Drosophila melanogaster: one gene and its partners. The protein of the gene in region 4 interacts with the protein of the main gene of each other region in a pairwise test. Each region holds a gene or a part of one and is shown on either strand. Other genes may lie near its edges. The genes, in order: Vdup1, SrpRalpha, udd and PSMG1.

Region 1 (5,515 bases), on a different chromosome or scaffold from region 4:
CTATGGCTTCATCTCCTGGTAGTGGTAGGCTCTGCATCCCGAAGCCTTTACTGGTTATTGTGTAAGCTAGTGCTCTATGGAGGCATCACAAAGGAAGGGGTTAGCCAAAAGAGAACCTTAGATATGCTAATACAGATATGGTATAAGAAGCGTGGCGAACAAACCATTTGGTGTAATTTATGCAACCTAACCGCTTGTAAGCAGAGCTGACAATTAGTTAACAGTTCTTCTTTAGAATAAGGTCCTCTCATCGGCTGCGGCCGTCAGAACGTGTCAATTTCGGTCATTAGCTAGTTATGAAAATCTGTGGTAACTTGTGTATGGCGCTTCGATTGGACCAGTGATGAACTAGAATCAGCCTTCTTCATGTAAACACTAAGTTACTCACGGAGCGCTATTATGAGTGTCTTTATTGTTACAATTTTAACTTTCTCGCGTTCCACTGGCCCGACCGAAGACAGTTTAAAGTTTTCGATGCGAACCGTGCCTTACCAGCGCGCTCGGTATCTTCGCCACAACTGAGCCACTGCCCCAAGTCGGACATAGAAGCAGCTCGATTTAAGGGAGAGCGTGCCAGAGAGGTGAAACAAGGCAAGAGCAACGAAAACAGTGGCCAATGCGCCCAGCCAGTTGGGCATGAGAAAGTTTTGCAGGTGTAGCTCTGCTACACCTCTTGTTTTTCTCTTTGAGACTTTACGGTATCGTTGGTAAGTTTATGGAGTGGACCAGCCACTCCCCCTTGGTGATTGATGTTACACCAAGATATTCTCTGCCTTCACGTCTGGCTTTCGCTATTATTATAAGAGATGGAGATAGGCTTACTATAGGTTCCTCAGCGCCGGACTTTCAGAAAAATGATAAACAGAGCTGAGATTCGGAGATCGGTTCGGTGGTGCGCGGAGCAGCTTTGAAACCACACTGACTTTAACTCAAGAATACTTAGTTGTGGGCTCCACGAAACTTCGAGCTCAAGCGATTATCATTTTGAACCAAACTAGTATAGACGTCTCTATTCGAAACAACCTAATTTTCAGATACTCTATACGTCGAGGCCACAAACGGGAAATCTTTGGAGTCTCGTTGAAATCTCTCTTCGCGGTAAAGACTTGGGTCATTATAAAACAACAACTCCCAGCAATTAAGCCGAGAAACATTGAAATGGAAAACTATAGCCTAGCCATTGCTACTAAATGTCACTAATGCCGTTGGAAGAAATATGAAAAGCTGGAAAAGTTAAATACGAAAGTGATTTGTTTTCTCTTATAGCCAGCATAGTCTTCAAAACGATTGATTTCTTCAGTCCATATATAGTTTGACCATCGTTGCATCTCTACTCTTTCTAATATTATCTTATACTTTGTCGATCATAAGGATAACCTACAGATTCCTTTTAATAAAGTTTTCAAGGTATCTGCCACAGGACTCATTTTTTGACTAATTTTCAGGGTATAGCCATAGCTTGCCACAGCTTGCCACAGGCTGCCGAGCCATTCACCGATTCGGTTTTCGCAGCCAGTGATAGTTTGCTTGGCTTTTGGCCTTTCATTTTCATGAGCTACAGTTGAGGTTCTTCGATTTGGGTACCTTAAAACAACAAATAACCGGTATTAAATGCATGCATAATGCATAAATGTGTGCCACTTTATCCATTTTAGTCTGCACACGATTTGTCGACTATGGATAAATACCTGTAAAATATGGGCTTGGTGTTGGAAATACAGATTTATTTTCTAGGTGCAACCGAGTAACACAAGATACACCTGCTGAGCTATAGCGGGGCGACTCTGCGAGCATTGCCATATTATTAGCAAATTGCTCCTATAATCGATTCAGTTTGAACAGCTTAGCTAACCGTTGAGGTGACAATTTGGTTCTCATGCTCGTTTGGTCTTCTGTTGTCTGTGGTGCCGTTCCAGTTTTTTCCGTTTGAATTTATTCAAGAAGATACGCGCTTTGCGTATCCTGTAAGCCCGCTGGAAAGGTAAATTCAGCCATGTATTACATGAATGCAAAAGATAGTAAAAACAAAAGCGGGCTACTTATTGGCATTACGACATCAGCTGGCTCCGGCTGGGCCTCTCTCAAACGATCCCTCGCAAAAACGCGCTCAAAACAAGTTTTTCAGTCGAGCTCTCGTCCGCAAACTGATGCATAACGACGACGACGATGACGACGACGGTGATCAGTTGCCAAACAAACGCTCGAGAGCGTGGACGAGATCTTGCCAAACGAATATCGCTCAAAGGCAGAACGGGTTAAATCGGTTCGGTTTGGACTGGTGTTCCGATCTGGCCAAAAAACACCTTTGTGTGTACAGGTATTTGAAAAGCGATCATTATTTCAAGTGCGCCCACAGGGATGAAGAGAAAACAATTGATCTGTTGTGGATAAAAACAAAAATGTTGAACAATTTGAATGTAATCATTCCAATGGCAGTGTACGGTTGGGAATCCGCTTTCCACTAGGAAATTACGTCAGTTTTCTTTTCGGTTTCTGTTTCCCAATCAGGAATCATCAACATTGTCACCAGTGCACCAAACAGGCTTGCCGACAGTCGCAGTTGCAGCTTACGCTTTTGGTAAAGATGTACATACTGGAGTTTTGCCCAAATTTGTAGGCGCGGGCGTGACACGCCCGACATGCTTCATGCGCCGACCTTGCAGTTGATGCTTAAGTGTTCGGGGCTTTCGTGCTGCATAGTTGTGCACGCAGCCATCTCTTGGCCGTACGAAACTGGTTTTGTTTCCTTTGCCCGCCTAGATGCTACCCACATAAATATGCAAACAAGCGCCGTATGTATGTGAGACCGTAGTCCGTAGTACATGGTCTCAGACCTAGCCAGCTATGACGGATAAGTTGTCATTAACCATAATGACGCGTGCGGAGCGGGTCAAATATTTGGCAACCGTGTTCTAACGAATTTCGTTGGTTTTTCCTTAGGCGTACGAATGAAATCGGCAACAAAACAGAGGCACGATGCCGCGCAAGTTGCTTAAATTCCTTATCATCTTCGACAACACTTCCCTCCTGTACTTCCCGGGCCAGTTTCTCTCCGGACGGGTTCTAATCGAATTGCAGGATGAGACGCCTGCTTTGGGACTTCATTTCCATGTGGTAGGCGAAGGGGTCGTGCGCAACGGGCGGCGACAGGAGCGGACATACGATAAGGAGAACTATATCGACTTTCGGATGCGACTTCTGGGGGACGTAGACCAAGGAGGTCCAGCTATACTCTCGCCAGGAATTCACAGCTTCCCCTTCAAACTCGGCTTGCCACTGGGTCTTCCATCTACATTTCTCGGTCGGTACGGCTGGATTCAGTTCTACTGCAAGGCGGCGCTCCGCGAGAACAATGGCATTATCCATAAGAACCACCAGGTCTTCATTGTGATGAATCCCATCGACCTAAACCTTGAAAAGCCCATCTTAGCAGTAAGTAGCTTTAAAAACCCTGTTTAAAAAAACTAACCTTTCGCCTGACTCAGCAACCGTTCACCTGCGAAGTTGAGCACAAGCTAGGCGTCGTCTGTGTTGGTGGAGGTCAGATAAAGTGCAGAGTGTCCCTTGATCGCGGTGGGTATGTGCCCGGCGAGAATATTCTGGTCACCGCATTTATATCCAACTACAGTAATGTGTCCATTAAACGGACTAAGGCATCCCTCACTGAGGTCGGTATCGCTTTCAAGTGGCTAGTTACAATTCATCCATTTTGATCTTATTTGGATTTTATTTAGACCATCGAGTATTTGGCGCGGGGGAAGGTGGTGCAAACGGAAAAACGGGAGCTGGCTGTTTTAGTTCGTGGCAAGATCCGTCCGGGGGCCAAAGACGAGTGGCACAACGAGCTTTACGTTCCACCCCTGCCGCCGACCAATCTTCATGGCTGCCACCTGATCAAAATATCCTACGACGTCTTCTTCGTGATCGAACCCAAGTCCATGGAGAAGGAGATTAAGCTACAGCTTCCTATCGTGCTTGCGACGTACCCCTTTCGACACTCCGGTGATGCGGTCAATGCCAACACCTGGCCGGAATCGGTGCTTAAGCCGGACACGCACACCCACTATCCGTCCACACTACCCATATTCCGGCCCTGGCTGCACGAGAAGCCTATCGAGGCATAGCCCGCAGCTTTTAGGATTGCTGTGTATCACAACTTGTTAAGACCGATTTGCGCCATACAACAATTTAAACTTATTTAACTTATACTTAACGTTTTTTAATGTTTCTGGTCTTTGCATTTGTAGGTCTTCCGTTCCCAAAAATTTGTTCATGATTGAAGAATTTATAACAAATACAAACGAAAGTTAACATAAAGACCAGACTTTGATAAATTATAATTAGCTCATATACATAACTTTTTATAAAACCTAAATATTGTAGGTTATATATTATTAAAATGGTAAAACTGCACTCATTAACCTTCTAACTACTACTAAATGGTTATAATAATAATAATAATCCCAAAAGTATGGTTGTTGAAATTGAAATAAATTGTTTAAAACGTTACAGCCTAAAGTATGCTATTAAAAAGCTGGCTTGTTCGGAATTTAAATTCGCGAAATTAAGTATTGATTCCAAAACTAAAAAGGGCCACACTGCACGTTAAGATGACAACAATTATATTAGTCCTCTTTATTTGGATAGTTTTATTCAATGACGTATCCAGCGACTGTGGCTGCCAAAAGCTCGACCGGAAGGCCCCGGATATGCCGTCCATTTCCGGACAAGTGTGCCAGCAACGAGCACAGGGTGCACACAGCCACTACCGGGATTACTATGGCGAACTGGAGCCAAATATTGCGGACATGTCACTGCTTCCGGGAGGCACGGTTTACATGGGTACTGACAAACCGCACTTTCCGGCCGACCGCGAGGCTCCGGAACGGCAGGTGAAGCTGAATGACTTCTACATCGACAAGTATGAGGTTTCCAACGAAGCCTTTGCGAAGTTTGTTCTGCACACTAACTACACCACGGAGGCTGAGCGATATGGCGACAGTTTTCTGTTTAAGAGCCTTTTGAGCCCATTGGAGCAGAAGAACCTAGAGGACTTCCGAGTGGCGAGCGCTGTCTGGTGGTACAAAGTGGCCGGCGTGAACTGGCGACATCCAAATGGCGTGGACAGCGATATAGACCACTTAGGCCGACACCCGGTAGTGCACGTATCGTGGCGCGACGCTGTGGAGTACTGTAAGTGGGCCGGCAAGCGGTTGCCCAGCGAGGCGGAGTGGGAGGCGGCTTGCAGGGGCGGCAAGGAGCGCAAACTGTTTCCCTGGGGCAACAAGCTGATGCCAAGGAATGAACATTGGCTGAACATCTGGCAGGGAGACTTTCCCGATGGCAACCTGGCTGAAGATGGGTTTGAGTACACCAGCCCCGTGGATGCCTTCCGACAGAATATTTACGACCTGCACAACATGGTGGGCAACGTCTGGGAGTGGACGGCAGATCTGTGGGACGTAAATGACGTTAGCGATAATCCAAATCGGGTCAAGAAGGGCGGTTCTTATCT
Region 2 (5,228 bases), on a different chromosome or scaffold from region 4:
CGCGACGTTTTCAGGCTGGCCAAGGAGAACGCGCCGGCCATCATCTTCATTGACGAGATCGATGCGATTGCCACGAAGCGTTTCGATGCGCAGACTGGCGCCGATCGCGAGGTGCAGCGCATTCTGCTCGAGCTGCTCAACCAGATGGACGGGTTCGATCAGACCACGAACGTTAAGGTGATCATGGCTACCAACAGGGCGGACACACTCGATCCGGCATTGCTGCGACCTGGTCGATTGGATCGTAAGATTGAGTTCCCGCTGCCCGATCGCCGGCAGAAGCGACTCGTCTTCTCCACCATCACCTCGAAGATGAACCTAAGCGAGGATGTCGATTTGGAGGAGTTTGTGGCGCGGCCGGACAAGATCTCCGGTGCCGATATCAACGCCATTTGCCAAGAGGCGGGCATGCACGCGGTGCGTGAGAATCGCTACATCGTTTTGGCCAAGGACTTCGAGAAGGGCTACAAGAACAATATCAAGAAGGACGAGCAGGAGCACGAGTTCTACAAATAGATTATATTAATTCATACACACTACTCCCGCCCCATTTTTTCCCCCAACACACTAAACTCTTCTTTGTACGCATAAAGTTATAAACATTAATAAAAAAATAAAAAAAAACAAAACAACTTGTAATCGAAGTGCCAAGCGATCCTTAATCCTAAACGAACCAACAGCCAACAGTGGGCAAAGCATTCCATTTACGCAACAACAAACTAGACAAAAGCCATATATTTGATTCGGTGAAAAGAGTGGATGCAAACAAGGAGCATTGGAAGGATAGCCGGATCGACGGCTGGCTTACTTCATCAGGGAATTGACCACGGCGTTCACATTGATGGCCTTTAGGTCGGCATACGTCTGACCCGTGCCCACGAACACAATTGGCTGGCCGGTTATGTAGGTCATGGAGATGGCGGCGCCCACCTTGTCATCGATGGTATCGAACTTGGTCAACACTATGCCGTCGATGATGTGCGGGTTCTCGTTGGATGAGTAGTCGGCCAGCGACTGATTGAACTTGACCAGCTGGTCGACGGCTTCGTTGCCCACCAGTGCCTCGCCCACGAATAGCACCAGATCCGGATTGTTCACTTTGATTAGCTTGGACAGGGAACGCATCAGCGGCTCGTTATCCTGCATGCGTCCGGCGGTGTCCACAAGCACCACATCCACTCGCGTATCGTGGGCAAACTTGATGGCCTCCATGGCAATGCCGGCGGCATCCTTGCCGTAACCCTTCTCGTACAACTGCACCATGTTGCGTCCATCGTGCTTGGCCGCCGGATGCAGTGCGTTCAGATGGCGTGTGTGTGTGCGCAACTGCTCGACGGCACCGGCTCGGAACGTATCGCAGGCGGCGATCAGAACGTTGAAATCGTTCTCGATCAGCCAAAAGCAGATCTTGGCCAAATTGGTGGACTTGCCGACACCATTGACACCGCAGAAGATTATCGTGTACGGGCGGCCGTTGCGCTTCGATTCGAGGGCATCGCGTATGATGTCGATGCGCCGTTTGGGCGATAGTATCCTCACCAGCGATTCCGTGAGCGCCTCCTTCACCTGGCTGGCGATGCTGTCGAATGTGCCCATTTGCTTGCCATCCAAACTGGCGGCCACCGAGTCGCACAGCTTAGCTGCTATCTCAGAGGCCACGTTCTTCGATATCAGATGGTCGCGCATCTTCTCCAGCGCCGGCTGCAAATCTGCCAGCGACATGGTCTTGGCGCCTACAATGCCCTTGAAGTAGGATAGCAGGCCACCGCGCTTGCCCTTCTTTGACTGCACCTGCTCCTCGGCCTCCCCCTCAGAGGATGCATCCTCGTTGTCAGCCTCGTCCTCGCTCTCCACATCCAAGTCGCGGATGACGCCCTGCATTGTGCCCACCAGCTGCGAGTATGAAAAATGATAATAATGAGTTCGTGATTTCACTTTGAATGCGAGTCGCGTTCGGGGAAAGTGAAAGTTAGTACTCACCTCGCTGTTGATGTTCTGGTACTGCACATCATCGGGCGAATCCCTGGAGCGATCGAGCAGAGCGGCATCCTTGGAATTACCGCCCAGATCCCAGACGCGTGGCTTCTTGCCGGCCTTCTCGGGCTTGCTGGACTTGGAATCACTGGGCGAGGTCTTCTTGGTGGGCGTGAGCTTTTCGCGCAGCTTGCGCCGTTTCTCCATGATGATCTTGTCCATTGGGGAGCCCGTCGGTGGCGACGACGGCTGTGATTTGGATGGTGGCGGGGCCTCCTGGATGTTCACCCGCTTCTCCACCGGCTTCTTGTCGTCCTGTATCATCGAGGCGACGGTCTTTTTCGATTTCTGTGACTCGTTGTAGGAGCGCATGGTTTTAGGTGCTTTCACTTGCTTGGCGGACGCCTCCTCCGCGGCGCTGAGCACGCGTCGATATTCGCGATCGAAGTCGTAGTCATCGCCCAGACGTATGTCGCCGTACTTTTCCTTGAAGGCCGCCTGCATGTCGGCCAGGAATCCATCTAGGTAGTTCAGTTTGATCACCTTCTGGAAAATGGCCGCATAGACCAGGTCCAGTTCGTTGTCCAGCTTAAACTGCACGGCCAGGTGGTCCTCCTCGTAGTACTTGGCCTCTGTGTTGCGCTCCTGCAGCCGCACAAAAGCACATTAGTGTCCATTGGTGCATTCACAACCAAATCCGTGCATGCACTTACCTCCAGAATGACGCCACGTATCAGGCTGTTGATGCAGGAGGCGAAACTGTTACCGGACGCGTTCGAGTGCCACAGCACCACTCCGCCCTTGGTGAATATCACCACAAAGTCCAACATTTTAGCTACGCTTCCGATCCGTCGTCACTTTCAACAACAACGCACTCTACTCGCATTGCATTTGCATCAAATCAAAAGTTGCCACACGTTCCACGTCACTTGCCTAGCGATGGCAGCGCGCTCGATAGCTACGCGCGTTATCGATATCGAAAGCTGTCACTTTTGAAAGCCGAAAAACCGTTAAATACAAATAGTTCAATTTGAAAAAAAAAAAAACAATAAGCAATATTAATTTCACTAGAAGTCTATTATTCATATGAAATGCAAATACAGTAGTTCCAAGCTAACTTATACATTTCAAATGTAGGGCAGCAGTTAGAGGATTCCCTGTTTTTATGATTAAAAACTAGTTCCCATTCGAAAATAAATGAAGAGTCCTTTGTTTTTGCTTTACACATCTTTAATGTTAAATTTAGTTGTGTATGTTCACGTTTCATTACAATATAATTTATTATTTATATTTAATAATACATTATTAGAGTCCAAGTCCTAACACTTTCATTATTTATACCGCATAATATCGAAGCACTCATTCAGTTGGTTTTGCCATATTAACATTGTTTTAAAAACTCGCATTTGGTGGATTAAAAAATGGTTTATCATTATCATTCGCCTGCCTTGGGTTTTGTTTAGTATTTTCATTTTTAAAGTGCTCTGAGGAAATGCCATAACAAAAAGATTAAACGTCTTGATTGGATAAATACTTTAGGAGAAGCACGTGAGTATGTTTCGTTCACATTTTCGATTTAGTTTAGTTTGCTTTGTTTGCTTTCTTTTTTACTTTTCTTTTTAAGGCTACGATACTAGGTTCTCCGCTATTTGGAACAGATTTGTGTGTGTGTTTTTTCTCAGTGTATTTTGCTTTGTTGTTTCGTTTTTATCGCAGCACAAACAGCAGTGTGTGGAAATCCATGATTTGGTTAAGTTTCGTTTGATTTGCTTTCGATAGTTTAGTTTTTAGTCGTGTAAACATAATTAAATATATGCAATAAATATTAGTACAAAATGAAATGCAAATCATCTCTAAATCATAATAATCGTATAGCAAAAACAGTTTGCATTTTAAATTCTTCACCGAAGTCGCTTAAAATGACAAAAAAAAATATAATGTAAATAATTTATATGTAGATATATAAATTTATAAAGAAGGGGCATAAAAAGTTTCACAAAAAAAAACACTTGCTGTCTAAGATTGCAGTTCGGTTTGCGTGTGAAAATCATTAATAGTTACTGGCTATGGGAATACGTATGTAAATCGGATTTGGTGCAGTAGTACTTTAATAAATTAATACAAATTAAATACAGTTTTGTGGCCTTTAAATAAATACAATGCGCGATTAGTTCGTAATTTAAAAACTAGTAGATTTGTGCCGTGGCATGAACAAACAACTCTGGTCGAGTAATTCTACAAAATGAACAAAAATGAGGGAAACAAATCGCATCGAATCGAATCGCATAAGGTTATTTGTTAAAAATTAAATGGAATCTCATATCATTGTTTAGAGTAGAACGTATGTTTGTAAGTAGTAAATATATATATATTGTATAGTAAATGTCTTTTTCTTTTACACAATTAGAGTATCGACTGCGCTGAAATTACAATTATATTCATATAATCATAGTTCACGGCGAATCCAAACAAAGTCGTGGCCAGCCAGCCTAGCCTGTCTTCAGTTTTCAGTTGAGTTCCTTTTTATTGGTTTGCGTTGCTCTCATAATGGTATTAATGCTGTGGTATCTGGTCTGTTCCCGTGCTTAGTTCGTTTGTAAAATATAGGCTCTCGACTATTATTTATCAGTTAAAAACTTAATAAACCATAAACTCGCAGCGACATAAACTCGACGGTTTGGGGCAAAGGTGATAGAGAGATTGTTTTAGGGGACTGCACGACAGACACGTCCATTGGGAAGCCAGAGGGAATTTGTAATGTAAAGTGTACGCCTGGTTGGGTGTGGTGGATGATTGTTGGTGATTGTGGATGAACGGGTCGAATGCGGGAATGAACTAACGCTTGCCATTCGGCGAATTGAAGCTGCACGACAGCATCTCCTCCTTGGCCAACTTGGCGCGATATTCGGCCATCATGTCGCGGCACTGGATGGCGATGTCCAGCAGCTGCGAGAACATCGACTCGCCCCGTTTGCAGTACGAGTCCTGGTCGTAGTCCACATAGTTGGTCAGATTGTACAGCGCCTTCGACTCGGCGAGGAAGGTCTCCAGTGTGGCATTAACGGTGCGATGATACTCCACCACCATCTCCTCCGTCTGCTGCAGGTCGTCGATGGCCTGGTGCTGCACAATCAGCTCGTCGGACATCTCGTGTTCCTGCAAAATGGCAATGTGCAGTGTGTATAAATGAACATTATAGGTTGTATGTTTCATTAGGGATCTGTCTATGGGGAAAAAGCCCTATACTTATTTCC
Region 3 (3,799 bases), on a different chromosome or scaffold from region 4:
CCGTTGAAATTGCCGCACAGCTCGGATGTTCCATTTTTGACTCGACTAAGCAGCCCGTACAACAGTGTAAGGTCACTCAGTCTGTTGTCTTCCAACAATGAATCCAAGCCCTTCTGCAATATTGACGTTAGGTGTTCGGCAAGTAACTCTTTTTCCACATTGTAAATCAGTGGATGTCTGTAAAAAACGCATTAATAATTGTTTTTATTATTGACTTCGCCAGCATACTTGGTGCTCGAGTCCAGATAGTGACGCAAACGCTCGTTCTCCTCGGCCAAACGCTTGTTGACGTGTTGTAAGTACTCGGGAACTTCCAGTTCTTGCATCTTGCGTTGACTCTCAGCCTTATACAATTGATTGGTTGCGTCGAGGAACTTCTCCTCAAAGGAGCTGGTGTAGATCTGCAGGTCGCATAACATGCGAACCAAGCTCTTCAGCAAACCACGGTCCACGGTGGAGCCTTGTCGTTCTTTTTCAATAAGCGTTAGTAAACCGTCGACGGTTCGCTTTTGGACAACGCTGTTTTGAGCAAAATGGATGCGAAAAAGGTCCAGCCCCATGTCCCAAATCGAGTGAACGGTCGAATTTTGCAGCACATAAGTTCGATCCATATACAAGAATATGCTGCGAATCATGATCATTTGTTGGCAGAACGAGAGCCACCAGTGGTTGATCTTTTCCAGCAAAATCTAAAAGACAATAAAAGTTGACGAGTAAACCTTTAAATGTGCTCCTTAAACAGCAACTTACCAGTTTGTCCATGCTACCGCCGGTGAGCTCCTTGAGCTTAATATTGCGCTTTACGTGTTGCTCTGTTAGCTCCTTGAGTTTCGCGTATAATTGTGCATCCATCTTGTGGCTACACATGTTCACCACCGCCTGGTAGAGCTCCTCCAGCGAATATTTAATGGGCTTGGAGAGTTGGATGGCGATAACGGCTTCTTCAAGCTTCACGTACGTGTCCTTGGAATAGTTATCGGGCAGTGTAGGCTTATCTAAGGAAGGAAGGAAGGAAGTTGAATCATGCAGTATACAAACAGTTGAGATCTAGACGGGACCTACCCTTAAAGTTCTTAATCACTATCTTCTTGACATCGCCAGGCTTGCTGTTGTGAATAGCCCCCATGCGATTGAGGAGATTTGAGGTAGTTGAAGCCGTGCGGATCTCGCCATGGCTGCCGCCTAGCTTGGAGAAGTTTGGCAGGCGCTCGCCGTTGGTGGACGCAGAATTCATGTTTTGGGCAGCGAAGGCACTGCGGCCCACGCTCGAGGCGGCAGCAGCGGTGGGGGCGACGTTCTCGGCCTTCTTCAGGCAGGCGGCAATATTCTCTGTGTTCTCGTGCAGCTCAGTTGTGTCCATGGGCTTGTACTTCTTGGCCGCACTCATAGCTTAGGGCCCCTGCTGCCAGCAGGATCTCCACTCCGCTCCTGCTCTCCTGATCCTGCCCTGCTTTCGTCGCACCGGCTTTGCTTAGTCCTGGGCGTGGAGATCGGTTATTGATTGCTGGCTTTTCCTTTAAGGGAAGGGATTGCAGTTTGTATTTCGATACGTACCCTTGAAATGATTACCAGCAAATATTCGTAATATTTTTGCGACTTTTGCACTGGGGTCGTCAAGAAATTGGCAACTTGCGAACTCAAGGCAAATAGACTTCCTGTGAATTTTCCGGCTGCGAAGTAGATTTCTCCGACAAACGGCGTCCTTTTGGACAAATGGGGTTCCTTCGACGCCTGAGAGACTATTCAAATCGACAAAACTTCGGAAGTACAATTACACAGGCAACATTTTATTATTTCGCTTTTGGTTGCATGCGGAAAATATTGCTTTTTGGGATATCGGACGAATCAAAACATCGATTGGCTGCGGGTAATCGATAGCTCAGCGGGCAGCACTGCCTATCGATATTGGTGTGAAACAGGTTAACATTGCCTATCACTGTTAGCACGACGCATTGTGTTCGCGACGCATTTATGTTCGCTTTCGCCATATAAAATGAAAACAAAAGATGAGAAGCCATCGCCTTTGAAAACTGCACCGCGTAAAATAAAGGGTGAGAATTTTCCAGCCAGAAGGATACCCGCAAATGTTTTGAAACGCACGCTTGAGATCGCCACCAGTCCCGAAGATGGCTTTTGGGTGAACCAAAACCCATCCTGTGCTCCTCCGGCCAGTAACGAGTTTTACTTCAGCGTTCGACGATCCACTGCGTACGAGAAACTACGACTGGCCCGGGATTGCCTTATGCAGCGGGACTACAAGAACTTGGCAAAAATACTGGCCTCCAATCATATGGGAGAAACGCTGCTCCAAAGGGCGTCCTTTCAAATATTCACGGAATACTCCAAGGTTCTTCAAAAGTGCCCAAAGTTCTACACGAAAATGGAGCAGTTGCGAGTGGAGCCGACTCCTCCGACGAGACCCACAGATGAAGACATAGCATTAGACGATTCATTAAATGCTATTCTATCCTAGTTACCTTTTTTAATAACGACGAAGTTAGGCAAGAAATATAATATAACTACCTCATAAAAAAACGCATATTAAATTGCCTATTAAAACTGCGTCCATCCCACTAATATATAGTGACGTATTTGGGTGGTCCAAACCAGCCACTTCCATTATTTCAAAGAAATCAGTAATGCACTCTAGTAATTTTCCATAACGTATCCCAGCTGCGCAGCATTCGTTTATCTTTGGCAGCGCAGCCGTTCTTGTAAACATCCTAAAGCCTGACCTAAGCAGATTTGACTGCCCTCTTTCAACGCTACCTAATCTTAAGAACCCAAGAGCGAGGCTCTCCCGAAATACAAATATTGTTCAAATACTGAGGCTTCTCCTCAATCCAATTTGCATTTGATTTTTAGTCTTAAGCTGAGATCCAAAGAATAAAGTCGTGAAACTATTTCTCCTAAAAACTATTTTTTATTTCTTGGCGTTGTCCTTAGTCAACTGACGGGACATTAGTTCGACTCATAAATAAAACAACAATTTTACTGGCGCAGTCGGTAGGATACAAAAGTATCCGAAAAAAAAAGAACCTTCGAGTGGAAAATAAGTTAAATTTTATAGTCCAGTGCTCGAAACATCTCCCAAAATAAATTCGTGAAAACTCTTCAACTTGGATTATAATTCCAATTCGGTTATCCAATAATAAGTGGAAGTGAAATACGAAACAAAAATATTAAGTCCAAAGGCAACTAAGTTTTAAAACCAACATATAAAAATAAAAAATTAAAACAATATAGAATTTTAATAATACAACACAAAAATTTACAAAACAAAAAAAAACAAACAAGTGAAACTAGAAAGCTTAAAAATAATAATAACATTGAATCCGAAACAAAACAAAAAAATAAAACACAAAAGTTAAAAATTTTACAATAAAAATGTCACAACCAATTATTGCGCTGAGCGACATAAACCTTGCCGAAGCCCGTCGGCAGCTTAAAGACATTATGCCATTCAAGGGTGATCCAGAAACCCTTCACACCTTTATCAGCAGAGTGGATTACGTAATTTCGCTCTACCAAACAAATGATGTCCGACAACAGAGGATTCTACTGGGAGCCATCGAAAGGAACTTGGACGGACAAATTACACGATCTTTGGGACTTCCGAACATCGAAGATTGGCCTACCCTTAAAGCAAGACTCATCGCGGAATTTAAAATTCAAACACCAAACTACAAACTTCTGGAGAACTTCAGGGAGACACCATACAGAGGAAGCCTAAGAGCATTCTGCGAAGAAGCGGAGAGACGACGTCAATTACTAATTTCGAAACTACACCTGGAAGGTA
Region 4 (3,840 bases):
GTATTTCAACTGCAGTTGGTGGGTCCCTTTGAGTTCCTAGCCGGTAAATTTCACGGCGCCAAACTAGGCGAACCGGGAGACTACCTGCGCCACTGGCGTTTTTACTACGATCCACCAGAATTTCAGACGATCTTCGTGCGCCGAGGCACTGGGATTCACTACGGTTACTGGCGCGATGTGCCGCAGGACAAGGAAAATCTCTTAATAGCCCGCAACGACTCTGCGAAAGGCTGCCAGTTCCAATTCGTCGCTGGAAATGCCTTCGATGCTTTCCTCTACTACCTGGAGCACGATTTTGCGGCCACTCCGTTCTCATGCGGGCAGTTGGCGGGGACCAAAAAGGCGGTGGCAAAATACCTGAGTGACAATTCCCTAGAACTGGCCCAGCTGGACCGACTGCAGCGGGAGCGCAACAAGCGTGTTGTGGCCAAGACATTCCACCGAGCCGGCATTGTTGTGCCCTTTGACCAGAAGACAGAAGTGGGATACCGCCCGCTGGCTGTCAGCGATTCCGAACTCAAGAAGATGCTGGCAATGCTTGAGCGGAAGGACGTCGATAATGGAGCCGCCAAGCAGGCGGTTCTGGAGAAGCTGCAGCCGGTGGCCAACGCAGCCAACATAGCAGTTGATGAATCGGACTTTGGAAGCGCCCTGGAACTAGGCATCGATATGTTCTGCAGTGGGCACAAGGAGCTGCACATGCTTGCCTCATCGTTGCTGGTACCCGCCTATTCAATGCTTTCCCGTCCACAGTTCATAGCCATCGCCAAGGCGCACATGGAGCAACGTAGTCGGGAGGACAACCTCAGCATTTTTGATGTACTTAAGTAGTTCGATTTTTATTCCGCAACCGTATCATTTTTACAAGCATTAAAACTAGGAAGTTGAGCACAGCCAAAAGTAGTTTCACATGTACAAATAAGAGCTCTCCTTCCGCGGAGGGATGTAGCTCGAGCTGCAGGCAACGCCCGCGGCTTTAAGTACCTTGATCACTGGCTGCGCAGCTGTGGCGTCGAGGGGCAGCTTGTCGGTGTAAATAACGAAAGAGGTAACAGGCAATTCCATCTGATCCCGCCAACTGGCAACTGCAAAAAAAGGTGAACAGATGGTGAGGTGATTCAACCTTCTCCTTTTCCACTCATCACTCACCGCCTGCTGCAACTCCAGCGATAAAGTTGGGAGCCTCTAGTTCAGTGATATCCTTCTGGTTGGCACCTATGCCGCGGACAACGGCAATGTGATCCCGGTAGAGCTGGATGTCCTCGCTTTTGAACTCGACCTTTGGCTTAAGCGTCAGAGTGATCACTTTCTTGGCAAGCTTCACGTACGGCAGTAGGAGCTCCGCTACCTCGCCGCTACTGGTCAGGTCCTCGTTGATTATGGCCAGCAACTGTTTGGACGAATGACTCCAGTGCAGGGTCGAGTTATTGGCAGGAATGGCGCACACACGCTTTGCATCCTTTTCCAGCAGAGAAGAGGCGAAGTGAGTGACGTTGACGCCCTCAATGACCACCAGCATCTCGCTCTCCACAGGGGCAGCTTCCCCATCGCAATCATCATCAAACTTCAGCTGCAGCCTGCGAATCCAAGAAATTAGGACTACCTACGTAAATAACATTAGATCACGCACTTCTCCACCGGCTTAAGGTTCTCCAATTCATCCTCGTCGCAGTCGTCCCAGAAGGCACGCGACGAGGGTATATTTAGTTCTCCAAATCCTGGACAGCTCATCGTGTCTGTTTTGATTTAATAAAAAAGGTGAAACTAATATGATGAGCCTAATTCCGGTCACTATGTTTTTTTCAAGTCATCAGTGTGACCATGTGCTGAACGCCAAAATAAACGTTTTTCTATTTGAATAAATTACATTTGCAGGTAATATTTAGGAACTTTTAGCGCTTTTTCTGAACTTATTAGGGCTTGGCATGTCAATTAAAGATTTAACAATAAGCTAATTCCAAAATTATGTATTGACAATATTGTTTGGGGGTTTTGAGAATTGATGGAAGTTACGCCCACTGAGCAAGGGAGAAATCAAACTTCAATTGTTAGTTCTAGTCGAATATTAAAACAAATGTGGTTCCAGCTTATTGGTTTTGCCTGATTAAATATTTTCGACTCTTCCGTTTTTTTTTAAGTTGAAACAAAAAATTCCGCACAGGTTAATAAAAATACCAGATCAGCATCGCAGCAGAAGCAGCGCTCAAGCACGGTCATACTGAATACAAAAAATGCAAGATGCAGGTCCATATTCGAATTGGAAAACCACTTTGATCGCTAATTAGAAACAGATTAAGAACCTCACGTCGGTGAAAATATTCCGTAGGGCAGCGCGCTAGGACAGGTCTCAAATTTTTTGGTTAGCAGTGGGAGCAAGCGCGCAAACCAGCGCCATGAGAAAGCGAAGCTCACGTTGTAACTCTGACACTTTCAAGGAGGAGCAGATGGACCACAACGGTGACGACATCAGCCTGCTGCAGCGGCCGCTGCGCACCGCCCACACGGGATTCGAGGAGGCCCGTCGGGCCTATGAGGATGGCACCAGCGAGGTGAGTCTCATCTGAGTGGAGTACGTGACTCAATTGTGGCCCGCAATGGCGGAGGCTCCTGCGCCCCAGTTTGGTGGATCCCCGGATAACAATCAGATTCTCCCACAGGTGCGCCAGCTGCTCAGTCTGGAGTGCAGCCTGATCTACGAGTGCAAGGTGTGCCGCAACATGTTTCGCAGCCTGGCCAATTTCATCAGCCACAAACGCGTCTTTTGCTGCGTCAGCGCTCGTTCGGCAAATGGCAGCGGATACACAGTGAGTGGGCAGTAAAGACAACCCCATTACAAGGTCTCTAATACCATAGGATGTCAACTAATCGCTGTTAATTCTCCCCCAGGATCAGAATTCCACTATGATCATACAAACGGGTGGTGGTCCGTCCCCGCAGGACATTGAACATATGCTACGCAGCAGAAGCACGGGATGCTCGCCTGTTCCCCGCGACGTGCGTCCCTTACGAGGAGGAGGTGGCGGCGGCATAAGGGACCTGAGTGGTGTTATAGAGCGTCTGCGACGGGAAAAGGCTACATCACAGGCCAAGTGCAGCTCGCCCACTGTTCTGCAGCTGGAGTCTGTGCCCAACTCTAGCCAGGCTGTTTATCAGACCATCAAAGTGGACCACGACGACAGCATAAGGACAGAACTGGACGAGGTGCATCGCATGCTTAATCCATCTGAAACCATTGTGGGACCCGACGGCAAGGCCTTGGCAACCGTTAAGCTGGAAAACAATGCAGGCAGCGACTCCGGCGAGCAGTCCATCAGCGACGAAACGGAGCCGAGTATTTTCTGCGAGATCTGTACGACTACCTAACCGAATAGGCCTTGAATACAATTAGTGATAGCTGTGTTTCCTAATCTCGTTCACAGGCAATCTGACGTTTCAGACGCACAAAACGCTTGAGGTGCACATTCAGAAGCATCACTCATCATCGGCGTTTGTGTTTCAGTGCCCAGCCTGTTCGCTGACCTTTCTGCAGGCCGCTGCTGTTATTCGTCATTTGTCGAAGGATCACAAGTAAGTTCAACTTAACCCGACCATAGAATTTTTATATTTTATTATTATAAAATATATGATATTATTCTACTTCAAGGGGACAGGTTCCTTTTTTCTTTCACATGGTCCATTTATATCTGCTTACTGCATACTGCATTCCTTATACATATATGTATATGTCAAAAATCATATTGTTTCCAAGGAAACAATCTAATTTACTTTCTATTTATGTGAATTTTTTAAGCCCTGAATCATAAAAACAGAACAACTAATAATCATAAATAAAAATATAAC

Evidence for each region.
Region 1: the proteins of PSMG1 (region 4) and Vdup1 interact in a two-hybrid assay, tested with the Drosophila melanogaster proteins (one large-scale study listed by BioGRID).
Region 2: the proteins of PSMG1 (region 4) and SrpRalpha interact in a two-hybrid assay, tested with the Drosophila melanogaster proteins (one large-scale study listed by BioGRID).
Region 3: the proteins of PSMG1 (region 4) and udd interact in a two-hybrid assay, tested with the Drosophila melanogaster proteins (one large-scale study listed by BioGRID).

Annotation. Positions count from the first base shown.
Region 1 is NT_037436.4:175,299-180,813, reverse strand, and holds Vdup1 (vitamin D[[3]] up-regulated protein 1), read left to right. Parts: upstream 1-1,850; 5' UTR 1,851-1,981; intron 1,982-2,178; exon of another isoform or gene 2,179-2,317; intron 2,318-2,508; exon of another isoform or gene 2,509-2,940; 5' UTR 2,941-2,976; coding exon 2,977-3,432; intron 3,433-3,485; coding exon 3,486-3,668; intron 3,669-3,734; coding exon 3,735-4,124; 3' UTR 4,125-4,312; downstream 4,313-5,515. Other genes in the region: CG13875 (uncharacterized protein), read right to left, coding at 1-37; CG7049 (uncharacterized protein), read left to right, coding at 4,611-5,515.
Region 2 is NC_004354.4:11,126,171-11,131,398, forward strand, and holds SrpRalpha (signal recognition particle receptor alpha), read right to left. Parts: upstream 2,918-5,228; 5' UTR 2,805-2,917; coding exon 2,688-2,804; intron 2,620-2,687; coding exon 1,981-2,619; intron 1,894-1,980; coding exon 805-1,893; 3' UTR 707-804; downstream 1-706. Other genes in the region: Rpt3 (regulatory particle triple-A ATPase 3), read left to right, coding at 1-516; Klp10A (Kinesin-like protein at 10A), read right to left, coding at 4,810-5,130. UniProt on the Drosophila melanogaster protein: Component of the SRP (signal recognition particle) receptor. Ensures, in conjunction with the signal recognition particle, the correct targeting of the nascent secretory proteins to the endoplasmic reticulum membrane system.
Region 3 is NT_033778.4:8,104,463-8,108,261, forward strand, and holds udd (under-developed), read left to right. Parts: upstream 1-1,922; 5' UTR 1,923-1,993; coding exon 1,994-2,473; 3' UTR 2,474-2,911; downstream 2,912-3,799. Other genes in the region: Cul4 (cullin 4), read right to left, coding at 1-177, 229-689, 751-995, 1,063-1,387.
Region 4 is NT_033777.3:5,792,492-5,796,331, forward strand, and holds PSMG1 (proteasome assembly chaperone 1), read right to left. Parts: upstream 1,827-3,840; 5' UTR 1,732-1,826; coding exon 1,631-1,731; intron 1,578-1,630; coding exon 1,150-1,577; intron 1,086-1,149; coding exon 907-1,085; 3' UTR 832-906; downstream 1-831. Other genes in the region: Hpf1 (histone PARylation factor 1), read left to right, coding at 1-831; CG10979 (uncharacterized protein), read left to right, coding at 2,394-2,549, 2,658-2,804, 2,887-3,349, 3,420-3,567.